Coturnix japonica: one gene and its partner. The protein of the gene in region 1 purifies or fractionates together with the protein of each later gene. This does not show direct contact. Links are inferred from orthologs where the notes say so. Each region holds a gene or a part of one and is shown in the gene's direction. Other genes may lie near its edges.

Region 1 (5,808 bases):
TGCACAGAACCTCCTGGCTGCCTGGGGCTGGGGGCTGCGCTTCAGCAGAGCAAGGCCTTGTGTGCCCCCCCCCCCCGGAGGGTGGGGAGCTGGGGCGGCTGTGCTGGCTGCACCCCACCTCCGGGGAGAGGGAGGGGGGGGCTGGTGCTGGGGAGGAGGCACAGAGGCCTAGGAGGGAGAGGGGAACACGTGGGGAGGGATGTGGGGGGTTGGGAGTGGGGGGATGCGAGATGGGGGGGATCTCTGCTGCTCCGGTGACGGCTGTCACAGCGCCGGGGGGAGCACGAGGGGACCCCCACCCCATCAGCATCACCGCGGCAGGAGGACCCCAGCCCCAGCCCCAGCCCCATCCCTCTCCTCAGCCCCAGCCCCGGCCGCAGCCCAGCTCGCAGCGTTGCATCAGCCCGAACCGAACCGAACGGAACCGCACCGCTCCGCACCGCCGCCCCACCTGCTTGGCGCTGAGCTCCCGGTCCAGCTCCCGGGCTCGGTTGTGCCAGACGAGGTAATGCAGCGGGTATCTGCCCTCCGGCCCCTTCCTGCCCGAGCAAGACGCGAGCATCCTCCGTTCATGCTGGAGCGGCGGAGCGGGGCGCGGGGCGGAGCGGGGCGCGGGGCGGGGCGGAACGGGGCGCGGAGCGGGGCGGGGCGGTGGGGGGGGGGGGGTGGGTGGGAGCCGCCCGGACGGTCCCCCCCGCATCTTCCCCCCGCACCGCCCGGCCTCATGGGACTTGTAGTCACTGAGCGCGGCGTCGCCCCTTCCTCCTCCTCCTCCTCCTCCTCCTCCTTTTCCTCCCCGCACCCCCCGCCGGCCCTATGCCCCCCCCCATTGTATGGGGCTGTTCGGGGACGGCTCCGCAGCGCCCGAAGGCACAACCTGAATTCTTATCGCACCCCCCCGCTCTCCCCACCCACGGGCGCTCAACACGCAGCAGCGCGACCCCCGCGATGAGCCCGTGGGGTGCCGACCCCCCCCCGGCCCCATTTCCCTTTCCGCCCCCGTCCCTCCGCTCGTGTTTTCCGGCAGCCGCCAGAGAACAATGCGAGGTTGGGCCCCACGGCTGCCCCCCCCCCACCCTCCGACCCCTCCCCACGCCCCTATGGGGTTCCCGCGGGGTCACCCCGCTCCTTCCCCGCCCCTATGGTGGGCTGTGGCCGTGACGACCCCCCCCCAAAGGTCCCGCTGTCCCGTGACGTCACGGCCATGCAGCGGTGAGCTCAGCGCCGGGCGGGTGCAGCGTGACACGGCGCTGTGCCCCCAGCCCCGGGCGCTGATCGGGGTCCCCCGGGCTGGGGGTGGCGCCCCCCGACCCCATCTGACAACGGCACAGAGATGGGCACCCCCAGTATCAAACCCCCCCACACACACTATGCCAGGTTCAGCCATCGTGGGGGTGGGGGTCGGGGTGATTTGGGGCCTCGGGGGTGCGGGTGCAGGATGGGACCCTGGGCTGGGAATGGGGCTGGGGGCAGGGCCGGGGAGTGCATGGAATCAGAACCGGGACATGGGCTGGGTCAGAACCTGGAACGGGACACGGACCAAGGCTAAAACCAGAACCAATGGATGCCTAGAATGAGACCAACTCAGAACCAGGACCAAAATGAGAACCAGGCCCGGGTCCAGAGGATGCCCAGGATCCGGATCACTATCAGGACAAGAACCAGGGGTTGTCCAGGACAAAACCGGGACCAGGACAAGGTCCAAGACTAACCCAGGACCAAGACCAGGAGCAGGGAATACCCAAAAGCAGGACCAGAACAGAGGCAGGGAATGCCCAGGAACAGAACCAGGATGGGGACAAGAACAAGGAGACGCACAGAATCAGGACTAGAACCGGGACCAGAACCAGAGGATGACAGAGCCGGGATGAGGACGAGAACCAGCACCAGGACGGGCCCCGATCCGCCCCAAAGGGCCGCAGCTCCATCACCCGCTGCTGCTCAGGGCGCGCCGTGACTGCGCTGCGCTGCGCTGCGCTGCGCGGGGCGGGGGCGGTTCTGCTCCTCCTCCGCCGGGGCCGGGCCTGAGCCGCTTCCTGCGGAGCCGCCGGGGCTGCGAGCAGCCGGCAGGGCAGGCGGCAGGAGGGCGAGGCGGCCCCGAGCCCCGCCGCCCCCCCCCGACCCCTCCCCAACCCGACCCCCCCATCCCCCCCTTCCCCGGCCCCGCTCCGCGCTGGCGCAGAGACCCGGGCCCGGCTCGGCGCTGAGGATGTCCCGGAAGGCGCAGCGGGCGGAGGTGTGCGCGGACTGCAGTGCCGCAGGTAGGGAAGGGCCGCGCCCGGCCCCGTCGGCGTTATCCCCCCCCGACCCTCCTCCACGCGGGGCCGTTCGCAGTTCGGTTGTGCGTGTGCCTCCATCCCCTCCCCCCCAGCATCAGCACCTGGATGACGCCCCCCTCCCCCTTTGCTCTGGACCCCGCTGCCCCGCTCTGAACCCCCAGCTTTGTACCCGCGATACCCCGGTGCCTCCCTCCCCCCCCCGCACCCCCTATTTACCCCAGGGGTCCCAGTGACCCCCACCCTTCCTTCACACCCCGTGCTGAGACCCCAGGAGCCCAGGGTTCCCCCTGCATACCCTGCCGACTCCCTCTTTGCCCACAGCAACCCCACAACGTGCCCTAAATAAACCCCCCCCCCGTTCCCCCTGCAACCCTCGGTGCACCCCATTCCCCATCCCTTTGTACCCCTACTTTCCCTCTCGGCACCCAGCACTGTGCCCCCCGGTGCCCCTGTTCTGCACCCAGGAACCCTACAGTGAGCCCTAAAATGCCCCCTGTGCCCCCCAGACCCCTTGTTCTATCTCTTACAGCCCCTTGTTGCCCCCCATTACCCCCCACTCTTCACCCCCTACTTTACCCCCGGGTTCCCCTTTTACACCCCGCACTGGGAATCCCCGCTGCACCCCATTATCTCTATAACATACCCTAAAGATGGCTCCCCCCCCATATTGTGACCCCCAGACCCATCCCTGCGGCGCTGGGGGCAATGAATGAACGTTGAAAGCGGCTCAGAGCCCTGAGGATGGCGGCCACGTGCATGGGGGGCTGCGGGGTCACCCACTGCTGTGGGTCAGCCCCTGTTATAAGGTACCCGGCGGTGCCGAGGTTCCTATGGGGGAAATGGAAAGCTTTTTCTCCCAATCCCTTATCGCCCGGCGGCCATGGGAGGAAATGAGTTATAAAGTCCAGAGGCCGCTTCCGACATCGCGGGGCCGGGAGCAGCCGGTGTCGGGATGTGCGGGGTGCCCGGCTCCGGCATCGCCCCCGCGGCGCAGGGATGGAGTTTCCCATTGCTCCGGGTTATGGGGTAGCACCGTTCTGCTGTGCCCTCAGCCGCCCCGATCCCAATGAAGGAGGAAGGGGTGGCACTGCGAGGTGCTGTATGGGGTGCTGTATGGGGTCCTATATGGGATCCTATATGGGGTGCTATATGAGGTGCTATATGGGGTGCTATATGGGGTGCCCCCCCCCCGGCACGCAGCATCCTGTTCCCGGCAGCGCCCCGTGGGCCGCGGTGCGGAGGCGCAGATGCGGCGGTGCTGCTGCCAAGCGCTGCCATCTGCCCGGGCGGTGCTGCCAGGATTTGGGGGGGGGGACGACGACAACACTGCCTTGTGGCCGCTGCCGGCTGTGCCCCCCATATTAGAGGGGTCGGGGCTGCCTGGTGTGGGGCAGCAGTGGGGTTTTGGGGAGGGGGTGGGAAGGAAGCGCCGCACTGGGTGATGGGGGTGGGTCGCTGGTGGTGCTGCTGCCCCCTCCCACCCGCAGCCCTTCCTCCCGTGGGGCGGCGCGGTGTTTGTGTAGGCCCTATAGATGCACAACACTCCTCTGCTATGGCACAGGGACGCTGGGGACCGTATGGCCCACCCTGCCCCTGCCCCCTGTGGAGGGGGGGGTGGCACCCCATCTGTCCCCCATCCCTTCTGTTGGTGCCGGGGGATCTGGACCCATTGGGGTGCTGGCTGTGGGGAGCTGCCCCCAAAGAACGGTGGGGCCCCCGTGGCTGGAGCGGGGCCGGTGCCAGCACAGTGCTCAAACGTCCCTTTGTTCTCCTGGGGACACAAAGGGCTCCAGTGCGGCCGAGCGGGGCCGGGCAGGGGGCGTGGGGCTGCTGGGGGGGGCACAGCCACTGAGTCCGTGATGGCTGAGTGGGTGGGAGGGCACCCACCTGTATGGGGACACCCGCAGCACAGGGGACACAGCATCGGCACGTAAGGGTGTATTGCACAGTGCTGGCATCGCCCCCGCTGCTGTCAGCCCTTCTGATGAGGGGGCCAAATCCTGCCCCCCCCCCTTGGTTGCTAAGGGAACCCTTTGGGTTTCCCCTGGCGATGGGCTGAGCCCCTCTCCGTCACCCTGGAAACCGCCATGTTGCTACGGTGACGCTGCCCCCCCCCACACACAGCCCCCCCTACATAACACCCCACGCCCCCTGCAGACCCGGGCTGGGCCTCCATCAACCGCGGTGTGCTCATCTGCGACGAGTGCTGCAGCGTGCACCGCAGCCTGGGCCGCCACATCTCCATCGTCAAGCACCTGCGGCACAGCCCCTGGCCCGCCACGCTGCTGCAGGTGGGTGCACCCGGGGGGGGAGGTTACAAGGGGGGTGTCCCATCGGCTCACTGTGCCCCCCCCCATGCATAGATGGTGCACACCTTGGCCAGCAATGGGGCCAACTCCATCTGGGAGCACTCGCTGCTGGACCCGGCGCAGGTGCAGAGCGGGCGCAGGAAGGCAAATCCCCAGGATAAAGTGCAGTAAGTGAGGGCTGTGTGTGGGGATGGGGCTGTGGGGATGGGGGGAGCTGTGGTGGATGTCCCCCCCCCCTCACCCTGTGTCTCCAGCCCCACCAAGTCAGAGTTCATCCGCGCCAAGTACCAGATGTTGGCCTTCGTGCACAAGCTGCCGTGCCGGGATGATGATGGTGTCACCGCCAAGGACCTCAGCAAGGTGGGGGCACGGTGTGATGGGGACCCCCCCTTGGTGCTGCTGACACTCCTGGCACTGACTGCTGCCTCTCCCCCTGCAGCAATTGCACTCCAGCGTGCGGACGGGCAACCTGGAGACGTGTCTGCGGCTGCTCTCACTGGGGGCTCAGGCCAATTTCTTCCACCCGGTGAGCTCTGGGGGGGGCAGACAGCCCGGGGGGGGGGGCATGATGTTGTCATCACGGGGCTGACGCCGGCTGTACCCACAGGAGAAGGGCACCACACCGCTGCACGTGGCTGCCAAGGCAGGGCAGATCCTGCAGGCAGAGCTGCTGGTGGTGTACGGTGCTGACCCTGGTGCGCCCGACGTCAATGGGAGGACACCCATCGACTACGCCAGGTGAGAGCGTTGGGGTGGTGGGGGGTCGTGTTGGGATGGGAGGGACGTGGCCAGCCCAGGGTTGGTGTCACCCCGGCCGTGCCCCGTAGGCAGGCGGCCCAGCACGAGCTGGCAGAGCGGCTGGTGGAGTGCCAGTATGAGCTGACCGACCGGCTGGCCTTCTACCTGTGCGGCAGGAAGCCGGGTGAGTGCTGCACCCATCGCATTGCATGGGGGGGTTAGGAGGGGCCGGAGGGGCTGATCTCACCACCCCTTATCTCTGTGCAGACCACAAGAACGGGCACTACATCATCCCGCAGATGGCAGACAGGTGAGTGCCCGGTGCTCACAGCTGCGCCACCACCACTGTCCCCCCTGGTGTCCCCACTGGGCCGAGGGGGGGACCCCACAGCTGTGACCACCACTGGAACATCACATGGAGTGTGCGTGTGGGGGGCTGTGTGTGTGTATATGTATGTGTATATATGTGTGTGTGTGTGTGT
Region 2 (5,160 bases), on another chromosome or scaffold:
GATCCCTGGGTGGAGAAACGGGGCGCACCCTCTTCCCCCTACTTTTCCCCAGCTCCTTGCCTTGAAACACTTGTCACTTCCCTGTTAGCACAAAGCTTGAGGCCTCTCCAAGGAGGAGGGAGCAGAGCTGGGACGGGCCCTCTCTCTCGGTGCCACCACCAGCTCGAGCCCTGCTCTAAACCCCCTCACCCAGCCCTTGGATTCCTTTCTTCCCCTGCAGCAGCGAGGGCAGGAGCCCTCCAGCCTGGGCATGGCGGCAAGGTTGGGGATGGGGCTTCCACCCTGGGGCGCTTCCTCAGAGCCCTGTGCACAGGCAGTGGCCGAGGCTCGGCTGGGGGAGCAGCCCCCAGAGCTCAGGGAGGACTCGAATAATCAGCCGCGGGTGAGTGAGCACGGGGGGGGGGGGGGGGGGGGGGGGGGGGGGGGGGGGGGGGGGAGGAAGCTGCTGCATCTCCCTCCCCAGCTGCCTACCACGGCCGAGCGCTGACATTCGTGTGGCAGGGCTGCCTCGCTGCCTTGTCCTCTCATCTCCCACCCTCCCCCCCACCCCATTTTAGCTGCCGTTTTTTCCTTTGCAATGAGCGGTTGGTCCAAAGAACCTCTCTCTTGGGCAGCAGAGAGCTTTTTGCACTTTAAGAAAAAAAAAACAAAAAAACAAAAAAAAAAAAGCAAAAAAAATTAAAAGTAAAAAATCGGAAAAAAAACTCAAGATATGAGGGAAAAAAAAAGAAAAAAAAAAGTTGGCATCTTTTGGGTCGCTCTTTCGTTCCCCTCCCTGCCCGTGCCCGGCTGCTGCTCCTCTCCCCGGTGCATGGCACAGCGCAGCCCCCAGAAGCAATAAGGGAGGAGAGGAGGCTGCGGGCGGGCTGTGAGCAGCGCTGGGGGGGGTTTAGGGAAGGAGGGGGCAGAGCCCCCATCTCTGTCCTGGTGGCTGTTGCTGCGGCGTTTTTCTTTCTTCTTGGGTTCATTTGTTTGAGTTTTGCCACCAGGACAGAAGCGAGGGGAGCGGTGCGGGACCCCCCCCATACAGCCCCTCCATACAGCCCCATAGCCCCGCAGGGACAGCGAGCTCCCAATACACAAAGAGAGAGTTCTGTATATGGGATCGCTCAGTGATTTAAAGCGCCCGCACCGCGCCCGGCTGCCTCCCGCAACAACTCCCCATCGTTTAAAGGTTTCGTTGTGTTTTCGTTCCGTTTCGACCCCCCCCTCCTCCCTTCTCCCCCCTCGGAGACATATTGTAAATATATATTTTTTGTTGGCAATTTAGAGTCCAGCCGATGTTTGTGCTTTCAAATTAAATGTAAGCGTTAAGGGTTCAAGCAAAACCAAGTCGCGTGCGCTCTCTGCGTTGGGGCCGGGGGGTGTTGGGGGCACGGAGGGGCCGTTTGTTCCTGGCTGGTTGTTGGTTGTTGGGTTGTTTGCGGAGCTGGGTTGGACATCTTTGCTCCTCCAGCATTACTGCAACTACTGCCATACTGCAGCTCCGGGCTCAGCCCCGCGCACAGCTCGGGCCCAGCCCAACGCGTTTCCGGCTGCTCCTACTTCCGCTTCCGGGTCGCTGCTGGGGGTCGGGCCGGTGCCGGCCTCGGCCCCGCGCAAGATGGCGGATCTGGAGGCTGTGCTGGCCGACGTGAGCTACCTGATGGCCATGGAGAAAAGCCGGGCCGCACCCGCCGCCCGCGCCTCCAAACGGATCCTACTGCCCGAGCCCAGGTGAGTGCCGTCGGGTCGGGGGCACCGGGCCGGGCCCTGCCTGCCCTGCCGCCCTCGGCCCCGCCGTGCCCCTACGGAGCCCCCGTCCCCAGACACCACCGGGGCGCGTAGGGGCAGTATGGGGCAGTGTGGGCCGAGCTGAGCCCCGGCCGCCCCCCAGCATCCGCAGCGTCATGCAGAAGTACCTCGAGGAAAGGGGCGAATTAACCTTCGACAAGATCTTTGCGCAGAGAATCGGTGAGTGGGGGCTGCGGGCGCCGCCGTGGGGCTGCGGAGGGGCTGGGTGGGGTCCTCCCCCCCCCCCCCCTCGGTCCGCCCTGCCCCGCCCCGCCGCTTCCCCTCGCACTAACTGTCCTGGGCAGGAAGCGCCTCTTGCTTCCTCCCCGCGGCTCTGGTGGTTTCCGGCACCTCCGCCCTCTGGCAGCCCCATAGCCCTCCTCTGGCAGCCCCATAACCCTCCCGGCAGCCCTATAGCCCTGCTCAGCGCCATAGCCCTCCTCTGGCAGCCTAGTAGCCCTCCCGGCAGCCGCATAGCACTCCTCTGGCAGCCACATAGCCCTCCTCTGGCAGCCCCACAGCCCTCCTCTGGCAGCCCCACAGCCCTGCTTAGCTCCATAGCCCTCCTCTGGCAGCCCCACAGCCCTTCTCAGCCTGCTGTGCTCTTGTTGTGTGGCACCACATCGCTCGGCCTGGGTGCCACACTGTGATGCGGTCACCGCTCGCAGCACTGCCTCTACCCCAGGGTACCTGCTGTTCCGGGACTTCGCCCTCAACCAGGCTGAGGAAGCCAAGTCCCTGATGGAGTTCTACGAAGAGGTGTGATGTGGGGCTGGGGATGGGGTACCCTCTGATGCACCTGGGGGAGGTGGTGCCCTGGATGCCTGGAAGCAATGCACTCAGTGCCCAGGGTCCTGATATCCACAGGTGTCCACGAGACACTGTGCACTGTGTGCTCCTTGTGGGGCTGTGCCCTCTTCACCATGCAATCTGTGTCCTTGGCAGATCAAGAAATACGAGAAGCTGGACTCGGAGGAGGAGCGCCTGAGCAGGAGCCGCCAGATCTACGACCATTACATCATGAAGGAGCTGCTGGCCTGCTCCCATGTGAGTGCTGTGCCTCATCGTGCCAAGCCACAGGAGATTCCACCACCGTGTCCACCTCCTCACGGTGATGTGGTGCTGTCCTGCCCTGCAGCCATTCTCCAAGAGTGCTACAGAGCACGTGCAGAGCCTCCTGAGCAAGAAGCAGGTGCCCCCAGACCTCTTCCAGGTAAGTGCTGTCCGTGACGTGGAGGGGATGGTGGCACTGGGGTCACCAGAGACAGCTGGCCTTGGGTGGCAGAAGGTGGTAGTGGAGGTGTGAGATATCCCACCTAGAGGTGGGACCTGCAGGGAATGGGGCGGACCTGGGTGGTACTGGGGATGTAATGCTGACCCCCGTGTTACCCATAGCCCTACATTGAGGAGATCTGCCAGAACCTGCGTGGGAGCATCTTCCAGAAATTCATTGAGAGGTGAGACAGGAGCACTGCCCAGGGAGATCTGTCTCTCAGGGTGCTGCAGGGCTCCTGCTGAGAAGTTCCAGTGCTGTCTGTCCCCACACTGGAGAGTTGGGCCAGTGTCACTCCCAGTTCTGGCCTGGGGTCTCTTTTCCCACATGGGGTCCTCTCCACAATACGGATCTCCTCTGCCCTTCCTTGCGTCTTAGAGGTCTCCCCAGGGGTCCCTCGCTCTCACCCTCTCTGTGCTTCCTTGCAGCGACAAGTTCACGCGGTTCTGCCAGTGGAAGAATGTGGAGCTGAACATCCATGTGAGACCTTGCTCCTCGGGATACAGCCAGGGAGGGAATATGGGTCCTGGTTCTAAGGGAGCTCCAGGAGACTGAGGCAGGGTATGGGACCCCCCCAGGACACACAGGGGGTAGCTACCATCGGGTGATCCCCTCTTTCTGATCCACTTCAGCTCACCATGAATGACTTCAGTGTTCATCGCATCATCGGTCGCGGTGGCTTTGGGGAGGTCTACGGCTGCCGGAAAGCAGACACAGGCAAAATGTAATGGGGCTGGGGAGCTCTGTTCTTGTGGGCAGGGGGGGTGAGCGGTGTTGCCGTGATGGTGGGCATTTAGCGGTGCCAGAGCATTGCTGTGTCTCCACCTTCTGGGGCAATACATCATGGTAGTTGGGGGAAGGAGCTGTCTGACCACAGATGTCAAAGAGTGGGCGTGGTGGGTCCAGGTAGCAGCAGGACCCCACAGGGACTCTCTGCCCCCAGGTATGCCATGAAGTGCTTGGACAAGAAGCGCATCAAGATGAAGCAGGGTGAGACGCTGGCCCTCAACGAGCGCATCATGTTGTCCCTTGTCAGCACAGGGGTGAGGGGATTAAGGGCACAGGGTGATGCGGGGTGCTGAGGCACAGCTGGCTTGGCATGACATCTTCTCCCTGGCCAGGACTGCCCGTTCATCGTGTGCATGTCTTATGCTTTCCACACACCCGACAAGCTCAGCTTCATCCTTGACCTAATGAACGGTGAGAGCCTATAGCTGCTCCCCATTCCCAGCACCGCAGCCCCCTGGCCTCCCCGCCATGGCATTCCCAGGGTGACTGCTGGCGCCTGTTACTGCAGGGGGAGACCTGCACTATCATCTGTCTCAGCACGGCGTCTTCTCGGAAGCAGAGATGCGCTTCTATGCAGCAGAGATCATCCTGGGCCTGGAGCACATGCACAGCTGCTTCGTGGTGTACCGTGACCTTAAGGTGACCGCCCCCATGAGCACCCACCCACTGTGTGGAAATCTGGGGGCCCTACAGACCTCCAGGTCCTATGGGCACCCTACACCCAGCAGGAAGCCCCTAGGCACTGTGGGCATCTCTGGGACCCTGCAGTCATCCCTGCACCCCATATTGCACCCATCCTAACGTGCACAGGCACCCTCAGCCCAGCTGCCACCCATGGCCGTGGGCTGGGCTGTGGCTCAGGGGTGGCTCCATGTCCCAGCAGCCAGCAAACATCCTCCTGGATGAGTTCGGTCATGTCCGCATCTCAGACCTCGGACTGGCCTGTGACTTCTCCAAGAAGAAACCCCATGCCAGCGTGTGAGTGTGCCCGCCCATCTCGGCACTCCCCTGTGATTGCTGGGCACGGCCCTGACCTCGCTCTGTGCCCCCAGGGGTACCCATGGCTACATGGCTCCGGAGGTGCTGCAGAAGGGAACGGCGTATGACAGCAGTGCCGACTGGTTCTCGCTGGGCTGCATGCTCTTCAAGCTGCTCCGCGGGTGAGTGTAGGCACGGAGGGTGCTGGGGAGGCTGTGCAGCAGGGGCATGGCTGAGCCCCACTCTGTGTGACTGCAGGCACAGCCCTTTCCGGCAGCACAAGACAAAGGACAAGCACGAGATCGATCGCATGACCCTCACCATGGTGAGCTGGGGGTCCTTGGACT

The links. Proteins that work in one complex are often made in the same cells at the same time.
Region 2: the proteins of GIT1 (region 1) and GRK2 purify together in Homo sapiens (affinity purification with western blotting; 4 studies listed by BioGRID and IntAct, with this or other methods). This does not show direct contact. The link is inferred for Coturnix japonica from reciprocal best matches to the Homo sapiens genes GIT1 and GRK2.

Annotation. Positions count from the first base shown.
Region 1 is NC_029534.1:4,842,556-4,848,363, reverse strand, and holds the start of GIT1 (ARF GTPase-activating protein GIT1), read left to right. Parts: upstream 1-2,097; 5' UTR 2,098-2,209; coding exon 2,210-2,261; intron 2,262-4,436; coding exon 4,437-4,570; intron 4,571-4,642; coding exon 4,643-4,755; intron 4,756-4,842; coding exon 4,843-4,948; intron 4,949-5,027; coding exon 5,028-5,114; intron 5,115-5,195; coding exon 5,196-5,326; intron 5,327-5,415; coding exon 5,416-5,510; intron 5,511-5,593; coding exon 5,594-5,636; intron 5,637-5,808. Other genes in the region: ANKRD13B (ankyrin repeat domain-containing protein 13B), read right to left, coding at 452-562. UniProt on the Homo sapiens protein: GTPase-activating protein for ADP ribosylation factor family members, including ARF1.
Region 2 is NC_029520.1:139,330-144,489, forward strand, and holds the start of GRK2 (beta-adrenergic receptor kinase 1), read left to right. Parts: upstream 1-1,440; 5' UTR 1,441-1,603; coding exon 1,604-1,716; intron 1,717-1,876; coding exon 1,877-1,953; intron 1,954-2,458; coding exon 2,459-2,532; intron 2,533-2,718; coding exon 2,719-2,820; intron 2,821-2,911; coding exon 2,912-2,986; intron 2,987-3,168; coding exon 3,169-3,230; intron 3,231-3,474; coding exon 3,475-3,526; intron 3,527-3,678; coding exon 3,679-3,770; intron 3,771-3,989; coding exon 3,990-4,089; intron 4,090-4,167; coding exon 4,168-4,246; intron 4,247-4,343; coding exon 4,344-4,474; intron 4,475-4,715; coding exon 4,716-4,813; intron 4,814-4,887; coding exon 4,888-4,995; intron 4,996-5,071; coding exon 5,072-5,138; intron 5,139-5,160. UniProt on the Homo sapiens protein: Specifically phosphorylates the agonist-occupied form of the beta-adrenergic and closely related receptors, probably inducing a desensitization of them. Key regulator of LPAR1 signaling.